Linked DNA regions of Drosophila melanogaster. The protein of the gene in region 2 interacts with the protein of the main gene of each other region in a pairwise test. Each region holds a gene or a part of one and is shown on either strand. Other genes may lie near its edges.

Region 1 (4,008 bases), on a different chromosome or scaffold from region 2:
AGTTCACTGCGGCCGCTGGGCCGTAGGATGCTGATGCTGCTTCTGCAGCTGAAGGACGTGGCTCAGAATCTGCGCCTGCTGCTCAAGACACTTGGGGAAGAAGGTCTGCATGAGGTCGACCTTGCGTTCCTCCAGCTCCAGTCGCTGCCGACATATCTTGGTTTGTTCGTAGAGCAGCTGGTTCTTTCGCCGAACTTCCTCCATGTAGAGCGCCTCCAGCGAGTCTGCGTGTGGGGGATTCACAGATCCGAATGGACGACCGCGCTTCCGTGGCACAGGGACGGGGGAGGCGCCAACGACGGCGTTGTTGGTGGTCGAAACTGGAGCTGCAGCCGGAACCGATGCCGATACCTGTGCGGGCACCGGCGCTGGCATGCCTCCGTTTGCGTTTGTGGCCACGCTGATGGTGTTATTGCTGCTATTGATATAGGCTACCGCCGTTATGGGCTGATGGTTGACGGTCGATGTGGCCGCAGTGCTAATAACGCTGTTGTTATTGAATTGAGCCGGCTGCTGCTGAAATTGCGACTCATAGTTTGTTTGGAACTGCTGCTGTTGTTGCTGCTGCTGCTGCAGTTGTTGCTGCTGCTGTGGCGTCTGCAGCTCGAGCAGCTGAGCCGGCTCGGCTGGGGAATACTGTTGCAACTGCTCCTGAAAGGGAATGGAGCGGTACTCATCGTCCTCGTACTCCTGCTTGACCACCTCGTCATACTGGTCCGTAAACAGCTCCGTGTTGAAGCTAACTCCGCCGCTGGTGTTGTTGTTGTGGCTGCTGCCGTGATTGCTATTGCTGCTGCTATTGTAATAGGTGGCAGTGCTTGGCTCACTGGCCAGTCCCAAGCCTTGCTGCTGCTGCTGCTGAACGGATTGCTGCTGTGGCTGCTGCTGCAACTGCTCTGCGGACGCATCATCCCGGGGCGGTGTCATGTCGCGGTTGTTGAGCAGCGCCTCTGGCGGCAGCGGATCGGCGTTCTTGGGCCTGTGCAGGTTCTTCAGGATGCGATTGATAATGTCGTACTTCTTCCAGCGCGTAGCATAGCTCGAAGGATCCGCCTGCAGCTGTTTTTTGACTTGCCTTAAAAGGGAAACCAGTCAGTTAATCCGGTATAGCAAAGTGTCTAAACGGTTACCTACCTGAACTTGGCCCTGGTCTGGTTGACCTTCATCTGGATCTCCTCGGGCTTCACGTCCACGGCGAACCGGTCGCGCAGTTCCTCGGCCCACCGGCCAAAGAAGATGGTGTTCTTGCCGGTGCGCGTCAGGCGCCAGTTGTCGCGTCCCCAGATCTCGTACAGGCGCTCCTCCTCGCTGGGCGTCCAGTAGCGACGCGCCTTCTCCTTGCCCCTGCCATCGAGCAGCTCCTGACCACCGCACATGCCTAAGTCCTGCTCGGCACCGCTGCCGCTTCCGCCCGCGTTCAACGCCAGCTTCTCGTAGTCCATCGACTGCTCTGCACCGGCTCCTGATCTGCTCCCGCAGATGTATCCCTGTAACGTTGCCTTTGGATATGCGATCTCCACTCTAGTTACACAATGCGACGCTGTGGTAGAATGGTTGAAGCCAAGTGCAGTTTTTCCGCACAAAAAATCAACAACAGCTCTGATACACAGAAGAGTGTGACCTTGCGGCGCGAGAACGCCGAAAATGCCTAGATTCCTGAGCGAATTTCCTGAAATAAGTAATATAATAAATTTCATTTAGTACCATATCAGTATCATGTATATACTACAGCTGGGAGAATGGCTTTGGGGCTAGTCCAATATTAAGAAATAAAATTATTAAGATATTAGATATATCTTTTCCAGATTTCAATAGCTCTATAAGAAAATTTAAATCATTGATGGTATTTTTTGGCGCCTGCCGCGCTCAAGCGTTATTGGTATTTCCACGCCTGGTCCTTGGTCACGTACGAAAATGTTTGGATTATAACGATTCCACAAAATTGAAATTAGACCGGAATATGAGCGGCCAGAAGCACCTGCGATTGCGCTACTACACGTCGCTGGAGGAGGCCATGCTACTGCGGCTGTGGCGCGAGCACCTGCATGCCATACCCTCCTACACGGACAACCTGCCCATTTTCCGGGAAATCGCGCACGGCCTGCAGCAGAACGGAGTTCGGCTCAATAAGCAGGAGGCTCGCCGGCGCATCAACAGCTACCGCAACAAGTATTTGTGAGGCGCAGCAGCGGCTCGGGTCAGTTCACAGTGCTAATATCTCCTTCCACTTCTCTGCAGGAACGATCGCAATCGCGTGGGGGGCAATGCGAACTTCGCGAAGGATTGGCGTCTCTACGCGCTGATCGATTGCCTCTTCTGTCCTGCCTGGCCGTCGTCCGCCCTCTTCCATTTCCGCAATGTGCTGGAGACGATCCGTGCGACAGCACGTGTGGATTTGCCCGCCCTGCCGCCACTGCTATACACTTCGCCCGCCCAGCTAAAATTTGAGCGCGACTCAGAGGGATGCACCTTCCTCGATGCCCAGCCCCTAGTTCCCGCAGTAGTGAAGACAGAGCCTCTGCCAGACGAACACCACCAGCTGGTGAATATTGAATACAAGCCCACAGTGACGCAGCTGGAAAACGCGGCTAGCCACTACCTGGAGAGAGCTACTGCCGAAAGTGTCATTCAGCGGTCGCCTCTCACGCCTGCCAACCACATCCTGCCCGAGGCAGAGGATGCGCCATATGGAGGCCACACCAACGGTGGCCAGACGGACGCCGAACGTTCGGCGAGCAAAAGGAGACGAGGGCGACGTAGTATACTGCCGCACTCGGGCAAGATCACAATGGCAATAGTGGAGGCGCTGCGCAAGGAGAACAGTTTGCTCGAGCAGCAGAACGACGCCTGTCTGCAGTCGCTCGTGCGCAAGGAGAAGCAGTTCCTGGACATGAAACATAACTTTCTGGCGTATATGGAGCGGCAGGAGGCAGTGCTGGCGTTAATAAAGCAAACGACCATCAAGCTGGAACCATGATCCCGACTACTAGCACCACGTGGTAAGGACATTGTATGACAGCTTTAGCTTTAAGTTGGGAATAGAGTCGCGGCGCTCGACCCTGTGTATGTTTTTCAATTCGTTCCTTTCTCAGACACAGATGTCTAATTCACTCGACGTACAAAGCAGCAGCATAGCGAACCGAAGATATTATAATTTCTCAAACGTTCTTTTTCTAGCGTCATAAGTGTAATGTGTATGAACAATCGTCTGTGCAAAAGATCAATCTATACGGTCTTTAGTCTTAAATTAAAAACATTGTCTTGAGGCGAACTTGTATGGTAGCTACATTTTTAAAAAAAAAACTAAAACTAAACAACTGGCTAAAAAATAAATTAGATGAAAGACTATTATACTATATATATATACTATACTATATAGACTATACTATTATTTCTATTGTTACAGAATATCTTGTTGATATAATAGTAACGAAATCAAACATAAATTCAAATGAAATCAGTGTGAATAGCCTATTAAGTTTTGCATTTCGATCAACTTAGCGTGTGCAACAACCGCCGGTTATTTGTTCATCAACCCCTGCTGCAGCAGTGTGGCCGTAGCCGGAATGTGAAAATATCCGCAAACACCGCATGCGGACCTCTCTTAGTCGCTCTCTTAGCGCACAATGCGCTCTCTGCCAACCGAAATGCCACAGACTTTTTGTAGGCTTTTCCACTTTTTCGATTTCGAGACTTCGAGCGAAACGGTCGTGTTTTTCGCGTGTGTGCGGGTGGCGGACGCGCGTGCCAATCGGAAAAGGCCTTTAAATCAAATGAGTGGCTCGCCAAAGGAGCGCATCAAGGTGTGTGCGATTGTATCGAGTGTGTGTGCTTGTGCGGTGCGGAGAAAGCCAGCCAGCCGCCAGTCTGGGATAAAAATAAAGATTAAGATTGGGATAAAACAAACGAACGGCAGCGAAGTGCACAAATTGCCGTGGAATCGGGGCTAAAGAAGGAAAAACAAGTGTGCAGCACACACGGATTGAAATGTTTGCCAATGTGTGCGAG
Region 2 (5,206 bases):
GATTACCACCATTGATTATCGCCTTAGCTTTCTAATTACGAAACTTTCCAAAGGGGATTAAGTCCAACTCCTGTGCCACTTACAGCCCACTGTGCGAAAGTGCTGAAATTAAACAGAAACAGAAGCAGCACTCACATTCGCAGATAAACATAAGCCGGCTCGACAATGGCCCCATTGTTTATGGCTTTCACATAAATTTTTATGCAAAATTTCAGCCAGAGTAATTAATTTTAATATGAAAGCCAAACATGCGCGCTCTAACAATTGTCATATAATTTGCCGTCTAGACAGTGGAAATTTAGTATTTTCAATTAACTGCAATGGCAACTGAGCGCTGCAACCTGCCACCCCCTTAACCCATTCCAACCCTTAACACCCCAAAGCACAACAATGCACACAAAAAGGCGCACACTGATTATTTCCACGACGAGGGCAGGAAGTGGAAAAAGCGAGCTGCAGCTCCTCTGACTGCTGACTGCCATGTTGACATTGTTGGCTCAAAAAAAAAAAAAAATAGAAAATATACGGAAAATAAAAACAACTAAATTCCGGAGCAGGCAAAGTATGATTTCACTGCAATCCGACGGTTTAGTTCACTCGTAATGCTAATGAATTTAAGATATCAGTACATAATTATTAAAGATAAGTTTTTTAATATTTAGCTATACTAAAAAACTCAAATCTTAAATTCACGAGTGGCAAACAAAAGTTTTAGATATCCTGGATGCAAATATATTCCCTAGTTGAACGTGCACCCATTGTGCAGGGGAAATCAATCCACTGAATGGCTGAATTCGATGGGAAAACAGCGAAAATGAGCCGGGATACCCCTGCTCGGACGCCCCTGCTTGCAGCCTTGAATCCGGAATATCAGGCGTGCAGCAGCAGGCAGAGCGACGTCCTCAAGGTTGGCAACAAAATTGCACTGCCAGTCACTCGAAGGGGTGTTCACAATGGTGAAGGGGGTGGTGGGTCACGAATTGCAGAAAAAATGAAAGGGGTAATGGGAGGGGGGGGGGGTCGGGTTGCAGCCTCGTTCGTGTGCCAATGTCAGTGCACCTGGCGCTGCACTTGGCACTCGGCATTCACTTCGAGTCGCAACTCAACTCGCCTCAACTCATCTCATTTCAACTCGACTGGCTGCTCCCTTTCCCAGCCAACAGTGCGTATTGCGGTGGCCGGGAAGCCTTACAAAGGGGGCATCCCCACCCATAGGCTTCAGCTTCGATTTCACTTTTTTCCTTTTTATTTTTTTGGTTTGGTCCCCAGCTCTCGCACTCGTTTTTTAATTGAAATTTCATTTGCCCCGTTTGTTTGCACATAATTACGATTCGGGGGACTTTTGTCGCTTGTTATGCAAATTTAAGGCCAGCTCATCCCGCGCTGAATGAGTGTGAATAGACGGAGATGCATGAATGCCCAACTCGAGCTGCATTCTCATATTTTTCATATTTATTCTTTTCGGCTTCGCTGCGGTTTCATTGTGGTGGGAATGGCCCAAAAAGGAATGGTTTTAGACGGGCTGAATGGAAGAAGACAGCCTCCAGTCAGCTGAAGCTTCATTCAGCTTCCAGTTTCTCGATGGTTAAAAAATGAGCACGAAACTAAAATCCTTTCAAATAGTGAACTCGTCTGGGAAGGCTGCAAGAAGCTGCAGACAAGTTTTCCAAATGCATCCATAAACTGTGCTACTTGCAATGTTTTAAGTATCAAAAATGTCTCAGATTATAGCAAATTTCAATGAAGCGAAGCGAAATTTGTAGTTCTTTGGTTGGTAAAGGCTTTCGGTATCTTTCTGATGTTAAAATTTGAATATTTACATATTACTATTTTAGCACTAGCACCTTAATTGGCGCGCACTATTTCAAACTAATAACCTATTTAGGCAATCAACTGAATAATAGTTATCAATCTGATATGAAGCCGTGGATTAGTACGAACCCCAGTCGTACTTCCCCACAACGCTCCGGAAATCCGGCAGTTAAACCCATTGACTGCTGATTGAGTAATCAACGAATCGAGACCCCGTAATTCCGCAATTTACTTACATTGTGAGCCGTAATCAGTAGGTGGATCGGCTGTGTCCTGTTCGCGGCTCTCAAGACATGCAAACACTCGCGCACACTCACAGCCAAGTTAAGCGGTTCGGAAGTCGCTATATATAATCAAATGCTGCCGCACTTCATTTGCCGGGGATTGGCCAACTGCTCCGTGCCCGCAAAGACATAATCCCAATGCCACCCACTTGTTGGGGACTCGACCACTGGATAAGTTCTACACGGAAGAAAACTAATCGAATTGTATTGGCCAATAGGTACTCAATGCATCTTGAGTTGCATTAATCTATCAGATCTCATTCAATGTAAGAAATCAAATTTTTGTTCTTGATTAAGTCTTTTTAAGTAAGCAGTAAGTTTATTAGAATATTTTATAAATAATATAAAGTTACTGTAATATTTTTTGTATTATATATTTATATTGAGCTAGCGCAAAAAACACGGACTTAGACCATTAAAAGGAAACGTAACATCAAACAACAAACAAGATTAAGAAAATGCTGTTACTTGCTGTTACTGAACAAGCACTAATATTTTGTCATTATCTTTAATGATTTTTATGGATGTGAAAACATACCGAAAGGGGTGTTTTATTTAGCTTTCTCTCAGTGTAGAGCCTGCCGATCACACACGCACAATTGCCGTTCGTTTGATTTACGACATCGGATTTGAAATTCCCCGCCGTTGCCTGCGTTTTTTCTTCTAACCAATTTTTTTTTGGCCAGAACAATGGCTGGCGAAAACGCGCGCAAAAACTGTCACCGGAAGTAGGTTCGCCAACCGGAAACGCGGAATGGTGCAAAATGGCGGGCAAATTACGCGACAAGCGGCAGTTTGCTGCCCGGCTGATTGCAAGGCGTACTCAGTGAGACGGCCAAAACGAATAGGCGAACTGCAACCGTGCACCGTGCAACCGGGAGCGGAGTAAAAAAACGCAACCAAAGTATGCAAAGCACGCGAGCGTACTGTGGCACCATCAGCAGAAACACGGCCTCCTGGGCCTGGGTTCTTGCCACTGCCTCAGTTGCCTCTGTTGGCTATGTTGCCTCTGCCGGTGCCGTTGCCGGAGAATCGAGAATCGGGCAGAGCAGAGCAGTGCAGTGCAGAGCAGAGCAACTGAACTGAACTCCTCGAGGAAGGCCGCGCCGTGAACATTAACGCTAGCGTTAACGCTAACGATAGGTTGACGGATGGGGGTAATCGGGGGTCTGGCTGGTTGCAAGTGCCCCGTTGTAAGCGATACCCAGGAGGGAGGGTTTTTTTTTTTTTTTCAACCCAGCTTTTTATTTAACTCTTCTTTTTGCGGGCCATGCCGTGCATTCTCTTTTTATTCTCGCTGCAGCCACCCCGAAGCGGAGCTGAGGCTTCAGCCTAAGAGCGGAAAGTAGGTGAGGCACATGAGCTCGACGGCTGGCAGGATGAGGCAGCGGATGAGGGGCAGGATGAGGGGCCCGGAGAGTGTTTACCCCGGCTTAGACGGCTCTGACAGGCCGTCTGGGCTCCAAAGCATGAATGAGTTGTGGAAGCAAATGAAGTGCCACGCCAGCCGACGTTGCAACCCGCAGCGTATTTAAATATAGCAGAGAACAAGCAGCAGCACCAGCAACAGCAGTGGCAGTGGCAGCGGCGGCAGTGCAACGCGTGCAGCAGCAACGGAAAAGGCAGCAGCTGCGCAGCCAGCAGAGACCAACGCTGCGATGCACTGGGAGAAAAGAGTGTGCTCTATGCACAATATTATTGCGTTCCTTACAGCAATACTTTAAAGCTTTATATATGGAATGGAGTGGCAAAGCTTAAGAGAATAGTTGAGTGAAAAACTGTAAAGAACCTTGTCCATTGAATACACTTTTTAGTAAAATATATATATATATATATACTTCATTATAGGTATATATGTTTCAGTGTACCAGGACAGGCGGCAGACGCTCACAGGCTATCATGTCACCGCTGGCGTCCTCATTTGTCTGTTTGCCTTGTGTGCTTGTGCAATTTTTTTATATTTTATTTTTAATTTCTTTTTTTTTAATTTTTGAGCCAGACTGGCAGTCAGTCAGTTTAGTTGCTAGCGCGCCTGGGCATATTTTGTGCTTCATCATCTCGGCCGCTGATGATGACACATGCGAATGACTGCAAACAAATCCAGGGAGCGGCAGTTGCTGCTGCTGCTGCTGATGTAGCTGTTGCCACTGCAGACTGATATTGCTGCTGTCATCAGCAACATTTCGCTGTGGCAGCTTCGCTGAAACTTTCTCATGGAGCGGGCGACTGTTTGCTGATGCAGCCAAATGCGAAAAGCGGGTGTGCGCCACACCTGCCGACCTTGGTGGGTGGGTCTAGACCCGGGTACCAGAACTCCCACGGTGGTTTAATCAACGAATTACGCCGGATTGGAGTGTTAATAATGCAAATCTATAGATGGCAACGCGGACTAATCAGATTGGATGCAGAATATTGCAGGCTTTTTGGAGGGATGTCATTAAAAAATAGAAAACACGGGTAAATTCGTGTTTATTTGATAAGATATCTTGGAAAGGGAATTAGGAATGTTAGCACATTTCCAAATTTCCTGCACTTTAAATGCATATTAAGGCATTTAAAAAATTGACGATGCAGATTATAAAAATTAAAATAATAAAAGGCTTTATGTGGGCTTAAAAAAAAGGTAATCAAAGGAAAATTAAAGAACAATGCCCCAAGAAGTTGTGATGGTCATGGATCTGGGGTCTGGCTGAGATTCCGCATAGACGGAATGCAGGGCGGAAGGCATGTCCCGCTTATGGGCTGTCCGGGGCACGTACTTGCGGTGGCTGCCACATAATGAGAGCTGGCTGCGGCACAAACGTGCCATAAACTGTGGCACGCCCCCTTGGCCCCAGCAGACCGCTTCCACCGATGAATATTCCATGTGGCATGCGTTGACAAAGCATTCGGGCCTCGTCATCTGGAGCATGGGGGCATATCATATAGGCAAAGTTTTTCCTTTTCCCAGCACACACATTGTGTGCTCCGCACATGGGACATACACACATACTCCTCGCACATCAGGATGGACCGACGAGGAGCAGAAGCTCCGAGCTGGGGCTCAACTTTTATCGGTCTTGTTTTGATAGTTGACTCGCTGCTAAGCCTATTAAGGCGCTTGAGTCGTC

Evidence for each region.
Region 1: the proteins of CG34377 (region 2) and CG14005 interact in a two-hybrid assay, tested with the Drosophila melanogaster proteins (one large-scale study listed by BioGRID).

What each region holds. Positions count from the first base shown.
Region 1 is NT_033779.5:5,799,839-5,803,846, reverse strand, and holds CG14005 (uncharacterized protein), read left to right. Parts: upstream 1-1,871; 5' UTR 1,872-1,960; coding exon 1,961-2,175; intron 2,176-2,238; coding exon 2,239-2,977; 3' UTR 2,978-3,330; downstream 3,331-4,008. Other genes in the region: CG7239 (uncharacterized protein), read right to left, coding at 4-1,075, 1,135-1,442.
Region 2 is NT_033777.3:22,321,091-22,326,296, forward strand, and holds the start of CG34377 (uncharacterized protein), read right to left. Parts: upstream 3,005-5,206; 5' UTR 2,635-3,004; intron 2,290-2,634; exon of another isoform or gene 2,275-2,289; 5' UTR 2,049-2,274; intron 1-2,048.